4 linked regions of the Ovis aries genome follow. The protein of the gene in region 4 interacts with the protein of the main gene of each other region in a biochemical or structural test. Links are inferred from orthologs where the notes say so. Each region holds a gene or a part of one and is shown on either strand. Other genes may lie near its edges. The genes, in order: SPN, ICAM3, LRRK2 and MSN.

Region 1 (4,119 bases), on a different chromosome or scaffold from region 4:
CTCGCGGGCTACAGTCCATGTGGTCATAAAGAGTTGGACAGGACTGAGTGATTGAGCACAACATAAATACCAGTTTTGATTTTTTAAAAAAAGAAAGGTAAAAAAAGAAAAAAAATCATATATATATACCAAAAGTCAAGGAAAGTGAAAAAACAGCAACCACCCAAAGAAGAAAATAGAGAACTCTGCTCATTCCTACCCAACAAATTTGTTAATCCCTCTGTAGATATCTTTTCAGTGTCTTCCATGTAGATTCCCACATTTTTATTAGTCTTTTGCAAAAATAAGATTATAGCATAATGGGAGGGGGCTCAAGAGTGAGGGGATATATGTATACTTAATAGCTGATTCATGTTGTTGTACAGCAGAATGCAACGTGACATTGTAAAGCAATTATCCTCCAATTAAAATGAAAAAAAGGAGGGTGCTTTCCTGGTGGCTCAGTGGTAAAGAATCCACTTGCTAATGCAGGAGGCACAGGTTTGATCCCTAATCTGGGAAGATCCCACATGCTGTGGACCAACTAAAGCCCATACACCACAACTATTCAGCCTGTGCTCTAGAGCCCCGGAGGTGTAGCTACTGAGCCCACGTGTGGCAACTACTAAAGCCCGCGTGCCCTAGAGCCCGTGCTCCACAACAAGAGAAGCCACCGTAGTGAAAAGCTCAAGTACCACTCCCTGGAGAGTAGCCCCTGCTCGCTGCAACTAGAAAAAAGCCTGTGTAGCAACAAAGACCCAGCACAGGTAAAAGTGATTAAATAAATACAAAGTTTCAAAAATTAAAAAAATAAGATCATAGCATGCTGCTGCTGCTGCTGCTAAGTCGCTTCAGTCGTGTCCAACTCTGTGCGACCCCAGAGCCGGCAGCCCACCAGGTTCCCCCGTCCCTGGGATTCTCCAGGCAAGAACACTGGAGTGGGTTGCCATTTCCTTCTCCAATGCAGGAAAGTGAAAAGTGAAAGTGAAGTCGCTCAGTCGTGTCCGACTCCTAGTGACCCCATGGACTGCATATTCAGTGCTCAATAACCACTTTGGTTTAGTCAGGCAGTCCATGCCTGGGGCTGTTGTGGTAACCACCCCCAGCTTCTTGAGAAGTCCAGAGCCCACCAGGAATTTCATGCAGCCTGCAAAGGCTCTCACTGCCCCCAGCCAGAGTCAAGGGCTTCCTCTTGCCCTGGTATTTCCTGGGAGCTCCTGGGGCAGAAGACGTGCTAGCCTTGGGGGCGCACCTAACAGCCTGGGGACCACAAAGGCAAAGGAAACCGCCTTCCCCTCCCATCTCCTCCTCCACACCCCTTTGTTTTCAAGCACCCATCTCCACCAGCTCTGCTGTGACCCCTATACCTGTTCCAGAGTCACCAACTTGCCATCCCATTTTCCAGTGAAGATCTAGGAATCCCCATTCCAGAACCCACCCACCATCCCCACCTGCTGTAGCTGAGACCTCAGAGCCCCTGTCATCACCTGGGACCCTCAAAAAGTGAGTGATGCCTCTCTCATCACAGGGCAATGTAGGAGCGGGGAGGGTGGGGCAGGATGCTGGAGTGGGTGGAGCCAGGGCCACTTCCTTTCCCCTTGGGGCCCCTGACCGCCAGTCTTGCCCCAGCTTCAGGAGGAGTTGGAGCAGCCTGGTCGCAGCCCTGTGCCCTTTTCAAGTGAGCTGGTAAGCAGCGGGACGTGGTGGGGCAGGGGCCTCGGTGGACCTGGGAATGTGCCTCTGGCTTGAGAAGACCTTGCCAGGTAATGGGAAAAAAGGACGAGGAGCCATCGGAGCTGCATGCGGTCAGGGCAGGGCAGGATGGGATGGCAATGGCTACAGCGCGCCGAGGGGTCCTGAGGGATAGAGTTGATGGGGGTGCAGCCAGTATCTTGTTATTTCTGACACTAGTGAAAGCAAGGGTGGAAAAAGCCGTTGAACCGGCAGTTGGCAGGGAAGTGGGCAGGAGGGGAGGGCCTGGCTCGGTCCTCCCCCTACCCACAGATCCTTATGTGCTCTACTTCTCCAACTTCCCCACCCTCAGGTCCCAACTCCTGCTCATGCCTTTTGCTTTGGAAATGATCCTGCTTCTCGTCCTCTTCGGGAGCATGAGGGTGGAAAACCTGGCTGAAGTGTCTCCAAGCAGCTCTCCTTTGTGGATATCTAAACCCACAACAGACTTTCTTTCTTCTTCGGTCTCTGGGAAGCCAACAGTCAACTCAGTGACTACCAGTCTTACAACAAACAAGGTCTCTAAGATGAGTGATAACCTTGAGCACCAGACCTTCCCACCTTCCTATATACCCAATGTGGTGTCCTCTCTTGAAACTTCCCCTGCTGCCAGCAGGGACAGTCCTGTATCTGAGTCAACAATATCCCAGGAAGATTCAACCGAGAAGTCAACAATGCCCATGAAAATCTCTGATACCCCCAGCATACCTGGTGTCTCAGTAATGAAACCTACAGGACTCCCTACTATGACTGGTGAAACCATGGCAACTAGCCCTCTGGATACCTCCAATGGGACCAGTGGAACCCCTGTCACCATGGCAACTAACCCTCTGGAGACCTCCAATGGGACCAGTGGAACCCCTGTCACCATGGCAACTAGCCCTCTGGAGACCTCCAGTGAGACCAGCAAAGTCCTATTAACTATGGCAACTAGCTCTCTGGAGATCTCTGGTGGGACCAGCAGACCTCCTGTCACCATGGCAACAAGCTCTCTGAAGACCATCAGTATGACCAGTGGATCCCCTGTCATCATGAAAACTGGCCCTCCTAAGACCTCCAAGGGGACCAGTGGACTCCTGATCACCATGCCAGCTACCTCTCTCAAGACTCCCATGGGGACCAGTGGCCCCACTAGCCGTGGCGTAACAACATCCAGCCCAAATACCTCCGCAAACATAAGCAGGAGGGACAAACTAATTCCAGCTCAGGGGACAAACGGCACCCTGCTGGTGGTTGTGCTCGTGGCCCTGCTGGTGGTCGTTGTCCTCGTGGCATCAGCCCTGTTGTGGTTCCGGCGGCAGAAGCGGAAGACGGGAGTCCTGACACTGAGCAGAAGTGGAAAACGCAACGGGGTGGTAGATGCCTGGGCTGGGGTCGCCCGGGTGTCTGATGAGGAGGCCATGACAGCGACAGAGGGAGCGTCTGGGGGGAACAATGACTCTGATGGCCCCCGCAGGGAGGGCTCTGGCCAGCGACCCACACTCACCACTTTCTTTGGTAGACGGAAGTCTCGCCAGGGCTCCATGGCGCTGGAGGAGCTAAAGGCAGGGGCAGCCTCCAGCTTAAAGGGGGAAGAGGAGCCGCTGGTGTGCAAAGAGGATGAGGGTGCAGAGGCCCCTACTTCTAATGGGCCAGAAGTGAGAGAGGTGGAGACCCCTTAATGCTCAAGAATCTCAAGGCTAGAGTTTAGAACCATTCCTGCTTTTATCACCTTCCCTCCCATCATCACCAAGAGGTTGATATCCAGCCTCCTCATCCGTCACCCAGCATTTTCACCCAGCGCTTTTTGGATTTTAATACAGCATCTTCACCCTCAATCTTCATTCAGCTTCTTAACCCTGGCTCTTCTAGCCAGCATTCACCCAGCATCCACCCCCAGCACCCAGACCAGGGCCTACACCCACTGAACACTTGCAGATGGAACAAATGAAACTTCCTCATCAACCCCTACTTCTCCCCATCACATTTTCTTCACATTTTGGTCCTTGAAACTAGCTGCCGAGTCTCTGGAAATGCCAGACTTCCTGGATTGATGATTTCTCAGCTGATTCCCCACAAATATCAGGGAAGAAGGAATTGGCAACCCAGCAACCTCCCACTTCAGGATTACTCTGGAAAGTACATAATGGCCCCATGGATTGGGACATTTGTAGTGGATTAGCCCATGAATTGCCTGTAACTCTGGGTGCCACTGGTCTGTGCCAGGCTGGCCCAGAGCATGGGCTGGATGGCGTCACCTTGGGGTGCTTTCAGTGTATCTGTGACAGCCCCAGGCCCCTAGACTGGCCCATGGTCCCAGCTGCCACACTCCCCCCAACTCTGGATGGAGGCGGCCAGAGGCTTCGGTTGTTTCTCCTCCCAAGAGCAGAGGTGAGAAGTTTCTGGGCAGGTGTAGTTCTTAGAAGTCTT
Region 2 (4,001 bases), on a different chromosome or scaffold from region 4:
CTGAGTGCTATCAAGGTCCTCAAGGAGGTCCCTCTCTGGAGCTCAGATCAGAGGCACGGGAGGCAGGTCACAGGCCTGAGAGAGGGAGCTGATGGAGTAGGAGTGCCCACCTCTCTCTCTCTCTTTCTCACTCACACACACACACACACACACACACACACACACACACACGTGTCCCTTCTCTTGGGATGAGGAGACCAGCTACCTGGAGGAAAAGGGCAAGAGGGATGAAGACAGGGATAAGAACTCAGTTGAAAGTATCCCCCTTGGCAGACGGTGGCTCAAGATTTAGCTGTCCCTGAAACGCTCCACCTCAGCACCGCATGCAAGCAATGGGAGAGCACCCGGAGATCTTCAAAGACTTGTTGTTCAGTCACTCAGTCGTGTCTGACTCTGTGACTCCTTGGACTGCAGCATGCCAGGCTCCTCTGTCCTTCCCTGTCTCCCAGAGTTGGCTCAAATTCATGTTCATTGAGTTGGTGATGCTATCTAACCACTTCATCCTCTGCCGCCCCCTTCTCCTGCCTTCAGTCTTGCCCAGCATCAAGGTCTTTTCCAATGAGTTGGCTCTTCACATTAGGTAGCCAAAGTATCGGAGCTTCAGCATCATTCCTTCCAATGAATATTCAGGGTTGATTTCCTTTAGATTGACTGGTTTGATCTCCTTGCAGTCCACGGGACTCTCAAGAGTCTTCTCCAACACCGCAGTTTGAAAGCATCAATTCTTCTGCACTCAGCCTCCTTTATGGTCCAATCCTCACATCTGTACATGACAACTGGAAACATAAGGAGCCTATAGAAGTCACTCTGGCAGCCAACAGAGAGCCCGGCACAAGTCCCCAGTAAATGTGGGCTCTGTTCACTGTCACAGTTTTACTCATCATAGGGGATCCTTCATTGTCACCCCCCCCCCAAATCGTTTATTTGCCTCCCAGGAACGTTGAGATCTCTTGTTAACTCTTTGAAGCCCTGCCCAGAAGTCTGCCCATTGTTCCCTCCTTGAAACGTCACCTCGAAATCCCACCCCTTTTCCTTCAAGGCCAGTGTGCAGATATCCCCATTAACTTCCTCTTTGGGAACAAAACAGCCTTTTTCACCTAAGTTCAACAGGAAGGGGAGATGTCTTTCACCCCTGCCCCCCTCCAGGCTTTCCAGTACTGAGAAAAAAGGAAGCTGCTTGCACTAGCGCTTCCTGTGGGTTGATCTGGGGACAAGGAGTGTAACCGAGGTTTGCCCTCTGAGACTCCTAGGAGACTCGCCAGCACGCTCCATTTTCCTGAGACCCTCACTGTGGACTCCCAGGGGGTGGCATAAAATATTCCCCTACCCTTCCCTCATCCTGGGCAAGGTGTGGCCCCTGGACTGCTGCATTCTTAGCTGCAGTGACGGTTCTTCCTTCCCCTGGAGGTCCTGCCTGTTCACCGGTGCACAGCTCTTCATTAAGGGAACTTCCGCCTCCAGGCTGAGCACCATGATGCCCTCAGGGCCACCGCCCAGGGTCTACTGGACTTCGCTCATCTTTCTGCTTCTTGCCTGCTGTCAGTTGCCCACAGGTGAGGCCCAGTGAGCTGGGGAGGGCTGGAGATGGGGGGTTGCTGGGGAGGGGAAGGAGAACAGTGCACCTCACACCCTGCTGCCCAGGGCTGCGGCAACACTTCTTTGACTCAGATCTGTCAGGGGGCTTCCCAGTATCCTTGGGGAAAAATGGTGGCTCCTTAACTCAGCCTTCAGGGCTCCCTGAGGCCAGGTTCCTGCCTTTCACTTGTTCCCTGCCCCCTTCACAGCATAGACACTTACCCACCCAAACACTCAAGTGAAAGTGAAAGTGAAGTCGCTCAGTTGTGTCCGACTCTTTGCAACCCTGTGGATTGTGGCCTACCAAGTTGCTCCAACCATGGGATTCTCCAGGCAAGAATACTGGAGTGGGTTGCCATTTCCTTCTCCAGGAGATCTTCCCAACCCAGGGATTGAACCCGGGTCTCCCGCACTGCAGGCAGACGCTTTACCATCTGAGCCACCACTCATGCCTGCACTTATTCGCTCCCTGCTCCATCCGGACTCATGACCTCTGCCTATGTTCTTCAGTCTGCCAGGATCCCTCTTGCCTTTCACTTGGCTAAATCCTCCTTGACCCTTTAAAAGAGACCGTAGTGGTTCCCTCCAGGAACCCTTTCCTGACTCACTTCCTCCTGGCCTCCTTCTCAACTCTCCTTGGTTCCTGATCCATCATCTGTCTTTCCCACTAAACTGAAACACCGCCGAAGGCAGAGACCTTCCTATCTTGGCTGGTGGGAGTGGGGGGGGGGGTGGCGTTGAAGGATGGAACCTGCAGCTGGGTGGGCTGGGGGGCACTGGAGCCCCCAGCAGAGACTCTGTTCATGCAGGTGCCCAGGGACAGACGTACCAGTTACGAGTGGAACCGAAGGACCCAGTGGTGCCTTTTGGAAAGCCCCTTGTGGTAAACTGCAGCTTAGATTGCCCCAGCCCTGGATTAATCTCCCTGGAGACAGCCCTCTCCAAGGAGCACCACAGCAGGGGCCTGGGCTGGGCAGCCTTCCGCCTCACCAACGTGACTGGTGACACAGAGCTTCTCTGCTCTGGCCTCTGCGATAAGTCCCAGGTGGTGGGTTTCTCTAAAATCACAGTGTATGGTGAGTAGGCGTGGCTGGAGGTGGGATGGCCTTGGGCAGTGGTGGGGGTAGATGACCAATGGTGCAGAGGAGCAAGGTGGGGCTGGGGCCCTGAATTTGCACAAATGGACCAGGACACTCAGTCAGAGCTCAGAACTGGGGGTGTGTGTGTGAGAGAGAGAGAGAGACAAAGTCAGAGATAGAGGGGTACATCTCAACTGCATGCCAAAGCAGCAGCTGTGAAACCAACTCCTTTGGTTCTCAATAAGCATTTTGTATGTGTGCATGCATGCTAAGTTGCCTCAGTCATGTCCAACTCTTTGTGATCCCATGGACTGTAGCCCGCCAGGCTCCTCTGTCCATGGGATTCTCCAGACAAGAGTACTGGAGTGGGTTGCTGTGCTCTCCTCCAGGGGAATCTTCCTGACCCAGGGATCCAACCTGCATTTCTTGAGTCTCTGGTATTGGCAGGTGGGTTCTTTACCACTAGTGCCACCTGGGAAGCCCAATAAGCATTTTAAAAATGATAGTTCAGGAATTCCTTGGTGGTCCAGTGGTTAGGACTCCAGGCTTTCACTGCCAAGGGCCTGGGTTCAATCTCTAGTCAAGGAACTAAAACCATGGAACACTCTCAGTATGGCCAAAAAAAAGGACATGTCTTTTACTCAATTTTTAAAATTTATTTTAATATAGTTATTTATTTATCTTGTTTGGCTGTTAGGTCTTAGTTGCAGCCCACGGGATCTTTCTTCGTGGTGCACAGACTCTAACTGTGGCACGTGGGCTTCAGCAGTTGTGACATGCGGGCTCTGGAGCGCATGTGGCTCTCGGGCTTCGTTGCTCTGTGGCATAGGGAATTTTAGTTCCCCAACCAGGGATTGACCTCGTGTCCCCTGAATTGCAAGGCAGATTCTTAACCACTGGACTACCAAGGAAGTCCCTACTTTTTCTTTTTTGTGTGTGTATTTACTTATTTATTTGGCTGCACTGGGTCTTAGTTGTGGCAGGCAGGAGGTAGGACCTAGTTCCCTGACCGGGGATTGAACCCCTGTGCATTGGGAGGATGGAGTCTTAGCCACTGGACCACCAGGGAAATCCCTTACTGCTTTTATTTTTATGACAGGTAATAAATTCATGTGGTTCCCAAATTTTAAAGTATTTAAAAAAAAGGGGGGGTCAGTGTCAAGTCTCCATTTACCTAGTGTGGGCTGTGAGTGGCTGTTGTTTTTAGTGTGGACGCATAGGTGCTCACCCAAAAGCCCTTATGAAAGCCTGGGCTGGGGAGGTACACTTATGAGCCTCATTTCACAGAGAGGAAACTGAGGCTCAGTCACTTGCCAGGGTCCGTGAGCAGAGATGCCTGGAGTCCAG
Region 3 (3,565 bases), on a different chromosome or scaffold from region 4:
AAACCTAGAGTACAAATGTGTGCAAGCAAAGCAAATTCCAGATTTGTAACACGTTACTTTAAAATATATTATCCCAAAGAAAAAAATTACAAAAATATATGAAGATACTAAAAACTATGACAATGTAATTATATGTGAATATTTGCTAGATTATAAAACCATACCCTAATTTTTATTCTCAAACCAACAAAAACAGTTACCTAAGAGAAACTCTGGAGCTTGTTCAAATTCCAATTCATCATTATTCAACATAATATTTCTAGGCAGATCAGCCAAAATCAAATCAGGAGCAATCTGAGATATTGGAATTGTGAGTCTTGGTTGATCTGGATTTACTAGGAGGTCTCCTGAGAAGTACATAAAACATTTTTTTTTAAAGATAAACCTTTAAGATTGTACATAAATTTGTCCTTTTGATTTACAGAAATAATCACATATTGTCTATGCGTTCCAATCACTCTTAGGTTCACTTTCCAATCTTATTTTTCTCTAGAAAATTTGAGAATGTTTTAAAAGTTGAGTTACTCTCTATTTGGAAGTTTAAAAACTCATTCCTAGGTTCACTCACTAGAAAGTAGAACTCAGAACTGCCTAGGCTATTGATATATGACTAGGAAATTATATATTCTTTACTTTCACAACATTCATGGAACACAGCATATGGCTGACATTACTAAGTTACATCCATGTATCATCTATTCTAATCTTCATAACAATTGTATGGCATAGTTTTGGTTAATAATCTCACTTCACAGATGACATATCATTGCCCAGTAGCCAGTATTCAAACTCTCACACCAACATTTTTTCTGAATCTAAAGTATAAGATCTTACTGGCAATAAATATATTTTTCTGAACTGTTAACTATAATTGAATATAGTATCCTCTAACTTATCCCTTGTAAATAAGAGCAATCCATTTTTACATTTATTTCAAAACTCACTTCGCAAATATTGAAAGAATCACTTAAAAGCATTTGTAAGTTGCGTCAACACATACATACCTTCTTCTGCTTTCTTCATCAAGTTGTCAAGCAATATTTTTTGATGCTCTTCACCATCATTAAAACTATATAATGCCCATTTCTTCAGCAGAGTTTCTCCTTCACCGCAAATATCAATCTCCAGTAATCCAGGAAACCACTCTTCCATGAGAGAATCAATGTGGTCCACAACTTGGCCCAAAAGAATACAGCCTATGTAATCCAAAGAAAACTTGATTAACATCCTAGCTGAACCTTATCCTGTCACAAATTGAAAAGAACTATAGAAACTTTTTAAAAGTTTAGATTTCTTTAGTGGTACAATTCCGTTTTGAATTAATTTCCTTACCTTTTCTACAAGAGGGAACTGTAATTTTTAAGAAACTCTCTGGGTGATGATCTAAAACTTCAGATCCTACCAAGCAGTAAGCTTCAGGAGACCAATTCAAGTAAATGCCTTGTCGCCAGTACATTCTATTTGGGCGAAGTGCTCGTTCTGAAAGAAATTTAAAAGAACCCAAATATAGCTATTAATTATTTGTTGTTCCATAAACTGTAGGGGAAAAAAAAAATCACTGCACATATTACAAGTGACAGTAACAGAGATGTATTTGTTTTGAAGGAAAGTACTGGAATTGTTAATGATATGTTATCTGTTAAATATAATATTAAATATTTTGTCCTCAATTTTGAAATGAAACAAACAAATGCCCAGTAGATTACCTAAGACAGATTTCAGGTTGATGGTGTCAAGCAGTTTAACATATGTAATAGATGAAAAAGAGAATCATAAACAGGTTCCCATAATTTTTAAAAAGAGGTTGGTGGTAATGCTAAAATCAACACTTTGATGTGATGTAACTATCTGTATGTTGATTAACTGCAAGCAAGATAAGGTTTATTTCAGAATACAGTACCATCTCCATAAAGCTGCTTTTAAGCACAAAACAGAAAAATTATATTTTCCCCCTTGGAGCACTAATATCTCTCTTTCTTCCAGGAGGAAGATCTAGCATTGTCATTTATAATTATAGCAAGATAAAGTCTTTATTCTTTTTTGTAAACCTCTCAGGGACCATGCAGCAGAATAGAGCTATTGTAGTCCCCACAGAGAATGGTTAGGACCTGTTACTCTATTAAACAAAACTCCCTGACTGAGGGGGTGGTCATTTCTAGTTTTTAATTTCTCCACGCGTGCATGCGTATTTGTGTGTACGTGCAGGGAGATAGGTGTTTTTACGCCAGTGACTCTGTAATTTCATCTTTTAAAACTGCTGCTTCTAGTCTGCTTTGGCTTGCAAAGCAAGATATTCATACACATTGTAAATGTGCCTAAAATAAGTACACGTGGACTTTGAGGAATTTTATTCTTAACAAATTTCATGAATTTATCTGTGTATATTTTTATATTGGCCATGCTGAGGTCTTTTGAGCTTATTTCCTGATTTTCAGCTGCATTACAAGCCAGTAAACTCTAGGAAAATGACATATTAATTTTAATATGCTTTCTAACTATCTTCTCCAAATATTAATTCTTCATTAAATACATACCTCTTCCTGAAAGCATGTAAGGTGAAATTTCAAGCAACCGATTGATTAATCTTGACCAAAAGCCCATTGGAAAATAAGGCATTTCATACAGTCGAATGATAATTTCAGAGTTCTCACAATGGGGAAGCTCTATTACAGGCCTGTGGTCAGACAAACTAAAGATAAAAGCACACTATCATTATATAGCTTCAGAAAACGCCCAACCATGCTGACCAGAGTGCTTTACTACTTGAAATCAATGAATTGATGATGATAAATATTCTAAGCAACTTTATTTTTTAGTAATGTTATTTTGCTACATACTCTTCCTACTTCAAAATTTAATGGTTAATCAATTCAAATCATGCTCAGATAAAGTGATGTATAAAGATTTTTCAGTAATCCTATTTACATTATAAATAAATTATTATAGTTATGTATAATAAGTAAAGGGATTACATAAAACTTTAAAATATGTATATCCTAGAATCAAGTGTATATCTGTGTTTAGAATTAGTTACCATCCATCAATCATTGCAATTTGTACTTTTCAATGTCATTTACTTTATAACATTTCCCAGGTTTTATAAGGCAGTAAGAAAAATTTCTACAACACAGTGCTAGAATTTAGGACTCCTTGTGTTGGCCATATCCTCTGAAAATTCACAGTCATAAATTATTTAAAGACTCTGTTGAAAAATCACCATTTCTCCAGAATCTGCCTAATAACTCCTTCAATATCATATGAGGAACATACATACACACACAGCAACACAAACACTCTCTAATCTCCACTATTAACCTTTCTTAAATAAACTGAGCATTGTCAAATCAAATAATAATTATATATATAAAATCATTTACATCTTTAAAATGTCAAATGTAGTCTTCACCAAAAGAAAATGCTATACTCCAGTACAAAGTTTACACAAGAAGGAAAAAATTAGCACATTCATCATAGACCAAAGTTACTTTCACAACTAAAAGAATATATGGTAAATTTCCATAGAGTAATTAAATTTTTAAGTTTTAGCTTACCTGCTTGGAACCAG
Region 4 (3,565 bases):
TCCCTTGTCCCAACAACTAAGGTTTGCTTTATTTTTTGTTGAGGCATGGACCTTGTAACAATCTCTCAAAGAATCACCAGCCTTACTTCACTGGATTTCTTCTACTCAAGGTTGTAAAATCTAAGAGGACAGTAAATAATGAGTTCCAAGACTCAGAAATTACACAAAACAATAATATATTGATCTTTATACTCATCAAGAGAAAACCAAGGGAAAAAAATAAGCTAGTGAGATAAGCCTTTAGCAAGAGAGATTATAGGTCAAAAAATACTGAATCATCATATGAAGTGAGATTAATTACAAATCCTGACAAGGTGAGTTTTAAACCAGTGCTATCCAACAGAAATATAAATTATCACACATGCAATTTAAAATTTTCTAGTAGCCACATGTAAGTAAAAAGAAACAGAGTGGAATTAACTATAACAACAGTTCACTTAAACCAGTATATGCAAAATCCTATCATGTATTTTGAACATGTAAATATTCATGAAGATATAAATGAATATTAAAAATGCATTAATGAGACATTTTATATTGTTTTTTCACACTAAGTCTTCAATGTAGTTTATACTTATAGCACATCTCAATTCAGACCAGCCACATTTCAAGTGCTCAACAGCTACATGTGGCCAGAAGATATCACAGTGGACAGTGAAAGTCTAGTCAATGCCAAGATTCAGAGGCTTGAGGGAGGTTGTGTGATCATCTGGGCTGGTCTAATCTACGTAGAAAAAGAATGATACAGGTGGGACCCAGGAAGTAAAATCATACTTTGTCAAGTCCTAGGTGTCAAAGTAGCCCAAAAAAGTAAGCAAGCTGAGCAATATCATGTGATATCTTTTATATGTGGAATCTAAAAAGAAATAATACAAATGAACTTACTTACAAAACAGAAATAGATTCAGACTTAGAAAAGGAACTTATGGTTCTTAGAGGGGAAGGACAGGGGGGAGGGATAGTTAGGGAGTTTGGCATGGACATATACATGCTGCTATGTTTGAAATGGATAACAAACAAGGACCTACTGTATGGAACATGGAGCTCTGCTCAATGTTATGTGGCATCCTGGATAGGAAAGGAGTTTGGGGGAGAATAAATACATGTACATATATGGCTGATTCCCTTCACTGCTCACTTGAAAGTATCACAACATTGTTTGTTAATTGGTTATACCCTAATACAAAATAAAAAGTTAAAAAGCGAGCTCTGAACTATACCTGTCATTCTGCTCATAGATGTTGAGACCCAGGGCATCCACCCCCAGCCATAGCTCTGAGCCTTTCTTGTTCTTGATGTTAAAGTAGTTCACACCATACATCTCCAGATCCTGGGCAATCTTCAGATACTCCAGGACAGCATCCTCCCTAAACAACAGAATGGAAGTCAGTGGCGGGGGGTGGGGTCGCGGGGGGCAGAAGAGGCAAGTAATAAGGGGAGGGAGCCTATGAATCAGACCCAGGGAGACAGAAAGCCTACTTGCTCTCCACTTCTGACAAGAATCTTGCCAAAAGGGGTTGAAAAGAGGATGGAAGGTGAGCAGATGATGGTTAACACAGCAAAACGTGACTTCTGCCAAAACATGTTCATAGGAGCCTAAGGTCTGAGATTCCCAAGGGGAATAAAGGCAGGCTGACTCTTGCTGACCTCTGGCATATTAGCTATCACAGAAGCCTCTTACACAGGCACATTATTAGCAGAGCCCAAATGAGATGGTGATGACAAAATGAAAAGATTCGTTCTTCAATTAGACATCTCCCAAATGGTATGCCATGTTCATAAAGATCCTTCCTCATTTCATTCTTGAAGAGGGGCCCCTTGTGGCTCAGAAACTCCCTAGGGGAGGAAATCTCAGGATCCCCTGATCTGGGCTATCAGCTCCCATCATCCACAAAAAGCACAGTTTTATAATGGTGCTGATTTGCCTTCCATTTCTAATTACATCTTGTAAACTGCATTTCTGTCTCTTTCCAACATCCTCCAGTGTTCCTAGCCTCTGCTTCTTCCCCACTGAACCAACTCTTATTCTCCTTGCAAGGGCATAGAGTCCACAGTTCCTAGGGTAGGCTTACCTGAGCATGCCCCGGTGCTCCTCATGCCACACCTGGATCCTTTCCTCCCACTGGTCCTTGTTAAGCTTGTGCTGCTCCAGGACTCTGGAAAGACAATGTGGGGTTAGTTACACCAGAAGCAGACTGAAATTATAGCAGGAGGTATTAACTAGACACAGGGAAGTGCCTGAGGGGTATGAGACATACAGAATGGGTGACCAAGAAGGACAGTGGGAACATCTTCCTTTGTACCTTTAACCAGAAAAATCCAATAAGGTGCTGTGGTCATCAAGCAAAGCAGTAACATATCAACTGTGCTGATTTGTGAGACTAAGAGGAGAAATTGGCCTCATGGAGGCATGCATACTCTCTCCTAGATCTCTGTGGGGCCAATAGTTTGCATTTGTGAGACTACTGCTCAGGGATAAGATATAGCCTGTGGCTATGGAAGTGAGAACTGAGTTCAAATGGTTTAGGGAAAAAACTAACAGGTTCAACTGTTATTATCTGTAAAATGGGCCCAGTTGTAATTATATCATAACAATAACTCTCAGATCTACTAGATCATAAACAAGGCTTGCTTTAAATATGCTATTTCAGACATTATAGCAGTGACTGATTTATGTAGAGTGCCAGGGCACAACCACTATCCCTAATACCTTCAGGTGATTTGTACATTTTGCTATAGCTCCACTGCGATGGAGGTTACTGGAATGAAGCATAGTTTTCCTTCCAATTTAAAAGCCTATATAAAATAGTGATTGGATGCAGTAGGGTTAAAAAAAAAATCAAGAGACTAGGGTTCCAGGTTGCCACAAATGAGCTGTGGGAGATTCAGCAGGTCAGAGTGAATACCTCTGCACCTCTGTTTCCTTAGCCAGGAAATAAGGATTATGCCTGCCTTATTCATTCTGTGTGTTGCGATGCTAAAATAAAAATAATTAGAATTTGAGAATGTTCAGTTTTGAAGTTTACAAAAGGAGAAATCTCTGTATACTGGGTATCAATATTAAAAGACTGTTTTGAGCTCCCCATGTCCCTGGTTTAAGTATTTCTCACTCCAATGAACCTCTGATACAAGAAGTCTAAATCAGTGAAAAGGATCAAGAAATTGGAACTGGGGCAAGGAGAAGCAATTCATCTCTGGTTCTCAATATAAGCACCTGTTTCCACAGTAATGAAGTTCTATAATAGGCAAACAGAGGAGGGAAAAAAGTGTTTTATTTTGAGAACCAGAGAAATAAGAACAGAGTATGGTGCCATACGCAAGTATATCTGTCTGAGCATCATAACATGGTCTTCAGACAGACCTTAGTGGAGAGGGACAGATGTGGCAACCCTTGTATAATAAGAATCAATCAGCTTTGGGCCACAGCTCACTCTGACCAGGGCAGATCACCAGGACACCACCTTACCTCTGTGGCAGCAACTTGTCCCCAGCCAAGTAGCCAGACTTGTGGACTTCCTTATTGAAGTCACCATACTTGGACTGGACAGCATAGGAGGCCAGCAAC

The links.
Region 1: the proteins of MSN (region 4) and SPN form a complex in vitro, tested with the Homo sapiens proteins (2 studies listed by BioGRID). The link is inferred for Ovis aries from reciprocal best matches to the Homo sapiens genes MSN and SPN.
Region 2: the proteins of MSN (region 4) and ICAM3 form a complex in vitro, tested with the Homo sapiens proteins (2 studies listed by BioGRID). The link is inferred for Ovis aries from reciprocal best matches to the Homo sapiens genes MSN and ICAM3.
Region 3: of the proteins of MSN (region 4) and LRRK2, one has a biochemical effect on the other in vitro, tested with the Homo sapiens proteins (9 studies listed by IntAct). The link is inferred for Ovis aries from reciprocal best matches to the Homo sapiens genes MSN and LRRK2.

The regions. Positions count from the first base shown.
Region 1 is NC_056077.1:27,028,690-27,032,808, reverse strand, and holds the start of SPN (leukosialin), read left to right. Parts: upstream 1-1,301; 5' UTR 1,302-1,482; intron 1,483-1,612; exon of another isoform or gene 1,613-1,742; intron 1,743-2,023; 5' UTR 2,024-2,039; coding exon 2,040-3,371; 3' UTR 3,372-4,119. UniProt on the Homo sapiens protein: Predominant cell surface sialoprotein of leukocytes which regulates multiple T-cell functions, including T-cell activation, proliferation, differentiation, trafficking and migration.
Region 2 is NC_056058.1:12,721,784-12,725,784, reverse strand, and holds the start of ICAM3 (intercellular adhesion molecule 3), read left to right. Parts: upstream 1-1,194; 5' UTR 1,195-1,471; coding exon 1,472-1,553; intron 1,554-2,384; coding exon 2,385-2,651; intron 2,652-4,001. UniProt on the Homo sapiens protein: ICAM proteins are ligands for the leukocyte adhesion protein LFA-1 (integrin alpha-L/beta-2). ICAM3 is also a ligand for integrin alpha-D/beta-2. In association with integrin alpha-L/beta-2, contributes to apoptotic neutrophil phagocytosis by macrophages.
Region 3 is NC_056056.1:146,886,451-146,890,015, forward strand, and holds part of LRRK2 (leucine-rich repeat serine/threonine-protein kinase 2), read right to left. Parts: coding exon 3,552-3,565; intron 2,690-3,551; coding exon 2,535-2,689; intron 1,480-2,534; coding exon 1,333-1,479; intron 1,197-1,332; coding exon 1,005-1,196; intron 348-1,004; coding exon 201-347; intron 1-200. UniProt on the Homo sapiens protein: Serine/threonine-protein kinase which phosphorylates a broad range of proteins involved in multiple processes such as neuronal plasticity, innate immunity, autophagy, and vesicle trafficking.
Region 4 is NC_056080.1:48,036,981-48,040,545, reverse strand, and holds part of MSN (moesin), read right to left. Parts: coding exon 3,467-3,565; intron 2,157-3,466; coding exon 2,073-2,156; intron 1,368-2,072; coding exon 1,221-1,367; intron 1-1,220. UniProt on the Homo sapiens protein: Ezrin-radixin-moesin (ERM) family protein that connects the actin cytoskeleton to the plasma membrane and thereby regulates the structure and function of specific domains of the cell cortex.